Linked DNA regions of Oryzias latipes. The protein of the gene in region 2 purifies or fractionates together with the protein of the main gene of each other region. This does not show direct contact. Links are inferred from orthologs where the notes say so. Each region holds a gene or a part of one and is shown on either strand. Other genes may lie near its edges. The genes, in order: S-adenosylhomocysteine hydrolase-like protein 1 and pip4k2a.

The links.
Region 1: the proteins of pip4k2a (region 2) and S-adenosylhomocysteine hydrolase-like protein 1 purify together in Homo sapiens (co-immunoprecipitation; 3 studies listed by BioGRID and IntAct, counting the BioPlex papers as one, with this or other methods). This does not show direct contact. The link is inferred for Oryzias latipes from reciprocal best matches to the Homo sapiens genes PIP4K2A and AHCYL1.

The regions. Positions count from the first base shown.
Region 1 is NC_019863.2:2,337,126-2,340,948, reverse strand, and holds part of S-adenosylhomocysteine hydrolase-like protein 1, read right to left. Parts: intron 1,980-3,823; coding exon 1,916-1,979; intron 491-1,915; coding exon 402-490; intron 247-401; coding exon 176-246; intron 33-175; coding exon 1-32. UniProt on the Homo sapiens protein: Multifaceted cellular regulator which coordinates several essential cellular functions including regulation of epithelial HCO3(-) and fluid secretion, mRNA processing and DNA replication.
Region 2 is NC_019878.2:14,730,403-14,734,225, forward strand, and holds part of pip4k2a (phosphatidylinositol 5-phosphate 4-kinase type-2 alpha), read left to right. Parts: intron 1-3,099; coding exon 3,100-3,216; intron 3,217-3,823. UniProt on the Homo sapiens protein: Catalyzes the phosphorylation of phosphatidylinositol 5-phosphate (PtdIns5P) on the fourth hydroxyl of the myo-inositol ring, to form phosphatidylinositol 4,5-bisphosphate (PtdIns(4,5)P2). Has both ATP- and GTP-dependent kinase activities.

The DNA.
Region 1 (3,823 bases), on a different chromosome or scaffold from region 2:
CAGCTGATCCCTGGTTACCACGTTTTTGTTCCCTGCAGAAACACGCCATCACGTCAGTCATGCTAATCGCCACCGGAGAGCAGACAGAGACCCACGACAGATTAATGGGTTCACTACACTAATTCCATGTCAGTGTAATCCATCACTCATGTCGATTTCAGTGAAGTTCCAATACCAGTGCACGTTATGATGATGTCGACCTGCCGAATGACCTCGTTCAGTTTGACCACCCTGAATCCATCCATGCTGTGGAACACAAAACAAGGCAGAGGTCAGCCAACAGTCAGGCCTGTCTGACATGAAAATGGATTCAGCTAAAGGTTTTGGCATCAGTAATCCAGCAGACTGTTAGATATTCTGTCTGCTCACGCCACGCTGGCAGAAGTGGTTCTTTCTCCTACCAAGCCTGCAGGGCGCAGATGGGATCGATTTCTGTCACGTAGACTATGGCTCCCAAAGCTTTCAGAGCAGCACAGCAGCCTTTTCCAACCTGCAACACCACAAAAAAAGAGACACCCGTTGCTGCCAAATCTCCATGTAAGTCCGTCACTCAGTGGTGCTCACACTTTTTTGGCATGCGAGCTACTTTTGATACGACAACCTCCAAAAGGTGTAGATCTAGACATACATTTGTTCTTATGCATGTGCACTAAGGTCACCTTAAATTTTACTTGATTGATTGATTAATTGATTGATGGATTTATTTCAAGCATTATAGTCAAAGCAATAAAGAATTTTAACAGATTTATCAAACTCAAATATCAAATGATGAAATGCATAGATAAAGAAAAACAGAAAATAAAACAAACAAAAAACAGTTAAATCACATTTGCTTAATTAAAAACAGGGATCATTAACTAAAGTCAAGTAGAGCTCGATTTATGGCCTGAAAAGAAGTGAGAAGAAGCGAGTTTATATAATCCCCCCCCTACTGAGTTTATTCATGTTATAGTTTTTGTAATCTGGTTCTAACCGTCAACTTTGAGGCCTTCAAAGTGGACAACGTATACAGTACTTTTATTCTAAAATGCATGTTTGTGTAATAATCATTAAAAAAATACAGTAAAAGCACTCTAATCTCTGTGAGATGACAGTGCAGTCTGTGTAGAACAATAATAGTGATTATGCACCAAAGTCACTTTATTCGACTTCAACAACTTCCAATCAATGCATCTCCAGTCAAAAACGCTGTTTATTTACGAACAACACAAAAACTACACAGTAAGAGTTCAGCAATCTTTGTAAAAACATGGCTTTGTCATGTGTATTAATATTATTCTTGTAGTAATATATCATTACAGAAAGCAGGAATGATGGCGTTTCATGCTGTGCTGTAAACCATGTGATGGGGGGGGTGACATTTCTAAAGCGAGGTTAGGCCGACTTAACCCCCGGCGATCAAACAGCAGGCTGGGGGGGGCAGAAGCCCTGCTGCGTGCCGGGAGAAAAAAGAAAGAAAATGCGTGTAGTTAAACACAGCGACGCACTTCTCAGAGGACGTTCGATTGGCCGTTCTGCATGTCAATCAAGTGACATATTTCGCCGAGGAGGATGAGTCGCTGACGGATTTTTAAAAATATATTTATCAATCTTTGATGTCCCGCCAGCTACCGTCTCATCCTTTGATGGATGTAATGAGCACCCCTGCTGTAACTAGTCCCAACATGTCACAGCCCACTGGAATAGCATTTTTACCTATTTCCCTTTTCTATAGTTGTGTAATGAACTCCTGCCGCTCTGCAGAAACCATGTCCTAGAAAACGACCGAGGGTTTTTGATTTTGCCTAAAAACGGCATCATCTTAATTAAAACACCACTTTGAAAATAGATCAAAAGAAGCTAGGAATGGGACTTTAATATGGAAGAAATGATCATGCTTGTGAGAAATGTGGTGATGTTCCAAAAAGGATCTCACCTCTCCGTACCCACAGATCACCACCTGTTTGCCTCCAAACATGACGTCTGTGGTTCTCTTCAGGCTGTGGAGGTTTGACACAGAAGGTTCACCATTTGTGGAAAGTGAAAGCGTGTTCAGAGATGATCAAAGAATAAATAGCAACAGAGAAAACCGGCTTATGATCATTAAAAGTTAGCCCCAAGTTAACCGAATCATGCATAGGTGGTATATCACCCATAATCAAAGCTCAGAAAACAACAACTTCCATCACATCAGTTTGTCGTAGAAACATCATCACCGTTTTACCCCTTGTGCTATTTTAGACGACCCCCCCCTTCCATTGACGTGTTCTCCCTACCATGACAAAGGTGGATAAAGGTGGAAAGATTTCATGTTATCCATGGACACCAGTGAAGATCACAAATCATTGAAGAAAAAAGGTTCAGAGCACTGTCTAGTGGGTCTAGATGACCCCACTCCCAATGTTAAAGTGCCTAGGATAGCACAAGGGCTACTAGATCGCTTCCCTGAGGGCACTTTCACACTCAGCTGGTTGGTCTGGTCCCATTTGTATGCTTCACTGAGCTGGTGTCGTTGCACAGCAACAGCTTGAATACAAGACAGACTACAGACCAAACACCTGAAGTCATCTACAGAGTCACGCCCCCCTCCAAAGTGCGAATCTGAAAAACCACCAGGAAAATGCCTCGGAAAGAAAACGAATGCAGAGTGAGAAAGACGCAGTTTTCTTCTTTGTGCTCTCGGCTCTTCCTGTTTGAAGAGAAGAGATGCAGTATGGGTAAAAACAGACAGGATGTCCTTGGGGGACAGATTACATGAACAGGAGTCGCATTCCTGCTCCCCCCCGCTATGAAATGGTTCGCTCTCGCTGTTTCACACATTTTTTTCAGTGCCATTTTTCTTTTTGAAACAGTACACTGTGTTCTGCGTCTTGATTGGCTCTTTATTCCTTCAATCCGGTCCATGCCATGTCTCCTTTACAGAATGCGTCCAGTTTTCCACGTTTACGTAAGTGGATCAGATCTTTGTCTTCAACACTGGACTTATTTCTCTATGAGGGGTTGAACTTTGAGAGTCGAAACAACAGAGAAAAGTGTGAAAAGGTTCATGTCTGTGTGAGAAAAGGGTGTAGTGAGGAGGTCTACCGCCTTAGAACATCCGGAATCCAACGTCACGGATTTCACCAACTGCTGGGGATTTTTTAGACCGTAACCCCCACCACACACAAGGGAACACTGGATTGTATTGAACTTTCAGGAGCCCGTGCATACATGTCAGAGTCTCAACGTAAACCGGATTGGCTCTTCAGCAAAAATAATGCATAAAAGATGAACAGGAACATTCACATGGAGGCCAATTAAAGGAGAAAACAAAAACATTCCCGCTTGGCTTATGTCACTCAACAGACTCCCTGTCAGAGTCCGAGTCAAGAGGAAATGCTTTGTAAAAAAAAAAAACAACATGACATCCCATAATGAAGAGGAAACTCTGAAACATTTCTTGATTGATTGCTACAACAGAAATGAGGATGAGTCATGTTGGTTTCAATGTTCACAGAGAAACTCTCAGATCTACAGAGTAGGGTTGGGCCATGTCCCTTAAATTGGCAGTCGACGATGTTTGCAGTAAACAATCGGGATGGACAAAGATATCGTCAGGTGGGGGGGAGGGGAGGTATTTTTAATTTTTCGTTATTCTATAATTATTATTCGTTATTTTACTGTATTACAGGGCTCCAGACTGCGACCAATTGGTCGCATTTTGCGACCAAAATTTGAGAGTGTGTGACTGAATTTTACATCCAGTCGCACATGTGCGACCAGTAAATTTGCCTCCCCCACCCTTCGTACTTTTTATACATTAAACGTGGAAGGGGCACGTCAATGATCAATGAAATAATCAATG
Region 2 (3,823 bases):
CATTTCCCTTTCAGTGCCAGTGTGCTGAAATAGTTTTGATCAAATCCCTGTGCTTTATTTCTGGTGTTTTTATACCTTTCAGGTAACTTCTTTGATTTCAGTCAGTGTGTGGTATTAAAAGAGTTCTAATCCTGATCTGCTTGATCAGCACTCTGTGTGATTAAACAAACCATTACATTTATTGAAGTGTCTGTCTTTCAGACCAGTTTCATCATGTCCTAATTCAATCAGAAACTTTGAATAAACTCAAAATCCCAAAGCCATGTGGACTGTTAGACGGAAAGAGGCCTGTATTTAAAAAAACAGACACAGCTTCTAGCAGGTTCACTGTCACGACCCAAATGGACCAACACAAAGTTTGGTTTTGCTTTGTTTCCTTTTGGGAAACAATGACAGATGAAAAGATCCATCCCCTTAAGTCAGGACCCACCTCGTGACCTCTATCCCTTTCTAACCACTGCACGCTAGTTTTGTCCCCCTCTTTCCCTGCTTCTGCCGTTCCATTAGTATCCCTGCTTGCTGGCTGTGTGTGACGGGTTGAGTGTGTGTTTTAAGTTTGTTGTGGCTTTGATAACTCGTCTTCTTGTATAATTGGTGATGTTATGAGTCTGAATGGTGTATTTACGTGTGTGTTTTTGCGCGTCTGTTTGTGTAATATTTGAAAATAAGAAACATTTCTTGATGTTGGAGATGAAAATGAGACTTTTAAATCTTTTTGAGGGTTTTTGGCGTTAGTCATTTCACAGCTTCTTCCACCAATAATTTTAACCTTATTGCAATTATTTCCAATTTTGCTTCTTCTTTTTTTGGCAGTTAAGCAACTTTGAGTATCAGCATTGAATGTTTTTCACCTAACCTCTTGTGGTTTTAGTTATATTACAGTTCTAAGTTCTGAAATAATGTTTATTATATTTATTTATTTTCATTATATGTCTGGAAAATGTTGCTCGGTGAATGTTTTTTTTCTGTGAGACTGTCCCTGTAGTGGCTGTTAGAGCCGTCTGCTGCGTCGGTCTGACATGCCAGGCGTCAAGCAGTAAGACATCAGGGAAACCCCCCTGAACTAATTTTAGAAATCAGCAGATAAAGCAAAAAGCAAAACTTTATTAAAGCCAGAGCAGCTGGGAATTCAGCACACATGTGAGTCTGCCGTTAGGATGGGTTTTTGTGTGCAGCACAGCTGTCAACACACTTGCTTCTTCCAAATGCAATTGAGAAACAGCAGAAGAGTTTTTCTTAGAAAAAAGGTTTTTCTTTAACCTCAAGGTTTGGCACTCTTTTAAACAAAGTGTGACAAACTGTCGCTAATTTTTATTCCTCTGAAAAGGCTTTTTGTCAGAAAGAGTAACCATCATAATTGAAGTTTATCGAGCAGTTGTCTCAGCCTTTCCACTTCTAAAGGATTACTGTCTTGAAAAGCTTTAGTTACGACGATGAAGGTGTGCGATTACACTTTCAGAAGTGGGTTGGATTGTTCTCTCGTGTTAGCTTCCAAACAAAAACAACACAAGCGAGTTTTTCATCCTACTGCATGGCTGGCCTCCTTTTAATGCATGCGTCTGCATGGAATGCAATTAATTGTGCATCCCTTGAAGAACTACATTCTTTCTAATGTCTTTACATGTGGACGAAAACCAACCTCTTTCATTTGCACCTTCTTTATCTGTTCTGGGATTTATAGCTTTAAACATTAGAGGGCTTGAACTAAATTTGTTTCTTTAATAATCTCATCACGTCACATCAGCTAATGTTTGTTGTCTTTCTTGGCTGTGATGGGAGCTATATTGTTGACATGTTGTGGATTCTAACCCACTGAATTTTAATGTGGAAAATGTAAAGATTGTGTTTTCTTGGTTCATAGAAGAGCACTTGTTTCTTCTCAGAAACTCTCAGCACCAGTTTTTATTCTGTCCTCTTATCAGCTCAGCGTTGAGCACGCAAGGCTTTCATGTAGCAATACGACTGGAGTAAGGTGTGAGTTTACCTGTTAGCTCATCTCCTTTGATGTAGGAATGAAATCCCTAGATTTAACCCCAGATCTGATAAAGCACAGAACAAAGTTTATTCATTTCAACGTCATTTTTGTTTGTTTGTTTGCTTTGCTTGCTTTTGCCAGAACCCACCAGCAGCAAAAGCGCAAGAAAAACCTGCTGCAATTTCTTTTACTTCTTGCATCCTTCAGTGGCAGTTGCTATCCAAATAGCACCATCAAACCCTTTCAAAACAATCTGTATACACTCTAGTTCAACTTTGCTTCTATGGCAGCATTATTTCTTACCAAAAAGTATTTTAAATAGAGGAGGAAACTGTAAAGGGGATAAAAATAGCTCAAAATAACTATTATTATCTTGGTTGAAAAATCGTTCGATTAGTGTCTATAAGCTCTGTTTAAATCATTTCTTTGGTGAGCAATCTAAGGAAGACCACAGCTCTGTACATTCATAGTTGAAGCTCAAATTAAATCTTAATTGATGATTTTACTGTCTCATTTGAAATTTAGATTTACGTTCATCAGATGTTATCTGAAACCGTTGCTTTGCTGCTTTAAACATATGAAATAATTATTAGAAAATGGACTCGTCTGAAACCAATCACAACATTTGTATGCGTGCAGCTCAATTACATTTGCGCTAAGGGCGCGGCATGGCACATCATGTATCATTGCTTTGGTGGTGTGTTACTTCCTGTTTTGAGTGGTTTTTATGACACAGCATTCATATGATCATACAAGGCATATTCCTCAATCTGGGACAGTTTTTGAGCCTTGAATGAGTGAATGTTATAAGGTTGTCATTAAAAATGTAGGAACTCCTCTTAAGTAAATTGGGGCTCAGTTTAACAAAAATCAGCAAATATAGTATGCCAGTGCTTCTATAACAATAAATATATTTGTGAACCCTCTCTTTCTTTATGCACTCAGACACACTGAAGACTACAAATCTTCCGCGTTTTACCCTTTCCAGTCCTTTACCCCTTTAAACACTTGTGTTCTGTTAAACTTGAACCTTTACCTCCAACTTGCTTCCTCCATTCTTCTCTTTCTTCTCTCCTCTCCTCTCCTCCACCCCTACATCCCTTCCTCACTCCCCCCTTTTCTAGCAGCCAACCCAACCAGAGGATGCGCCCCCTCGGCCCAAATCTGGTAATGTTCAGCAAAGGCTGCAAACACTGCGGATTGCCACGCGCTTTTACTGTGCCATGAAACACGTAAGAGATGTAAGAGAACCAGGGCTCAAATACTAGGCATGATCTATTATAAACGTATTTCATTGTACTACATATCCACAGTGGTACAGAAAAGTGTTCGCCTGTTTTGCATTCCTCAGGTTGTTCCATTTAAAAAGATGAGAGAGGTCTGTGATGTTCGTCATAGATACACTTCAAGTGTTAGAGACGGAAGGCAAAAAATAAAACAGGAGATCAAATTGTATAATTTTAAGGTCTGTTTTTGTGTATTAGTGCAGAAAACAAGTATTTAACTCTTCTAAACAAGCAAGAATTCTGTCCCTCACGGAACTGTTACTTCCTTAAGAAGTTCTATCCTCCACTTGTTACCTGTATGAATGGTTCCTGTTTGAACAGGTCATCTGTTTAAAAGTCACCTGTCCACACCGTTTGACAGTCAGACTGCAATCCCCCACCAAGACTAAAACCAAAAGCTGTCTAAGTCCTTAGAAGTATGGAGGTGGAAGCATCATGCTGTGGAGCTGCTTCTCTTCAAATGATCTTCATTAAGGAATGGGTGAATGAGGCCATGTATGGTGAGATTTTGTGCAAAGAAGCTCCTTCCATCAGTGAGACGTGAGACATGGCCGGATCTCCC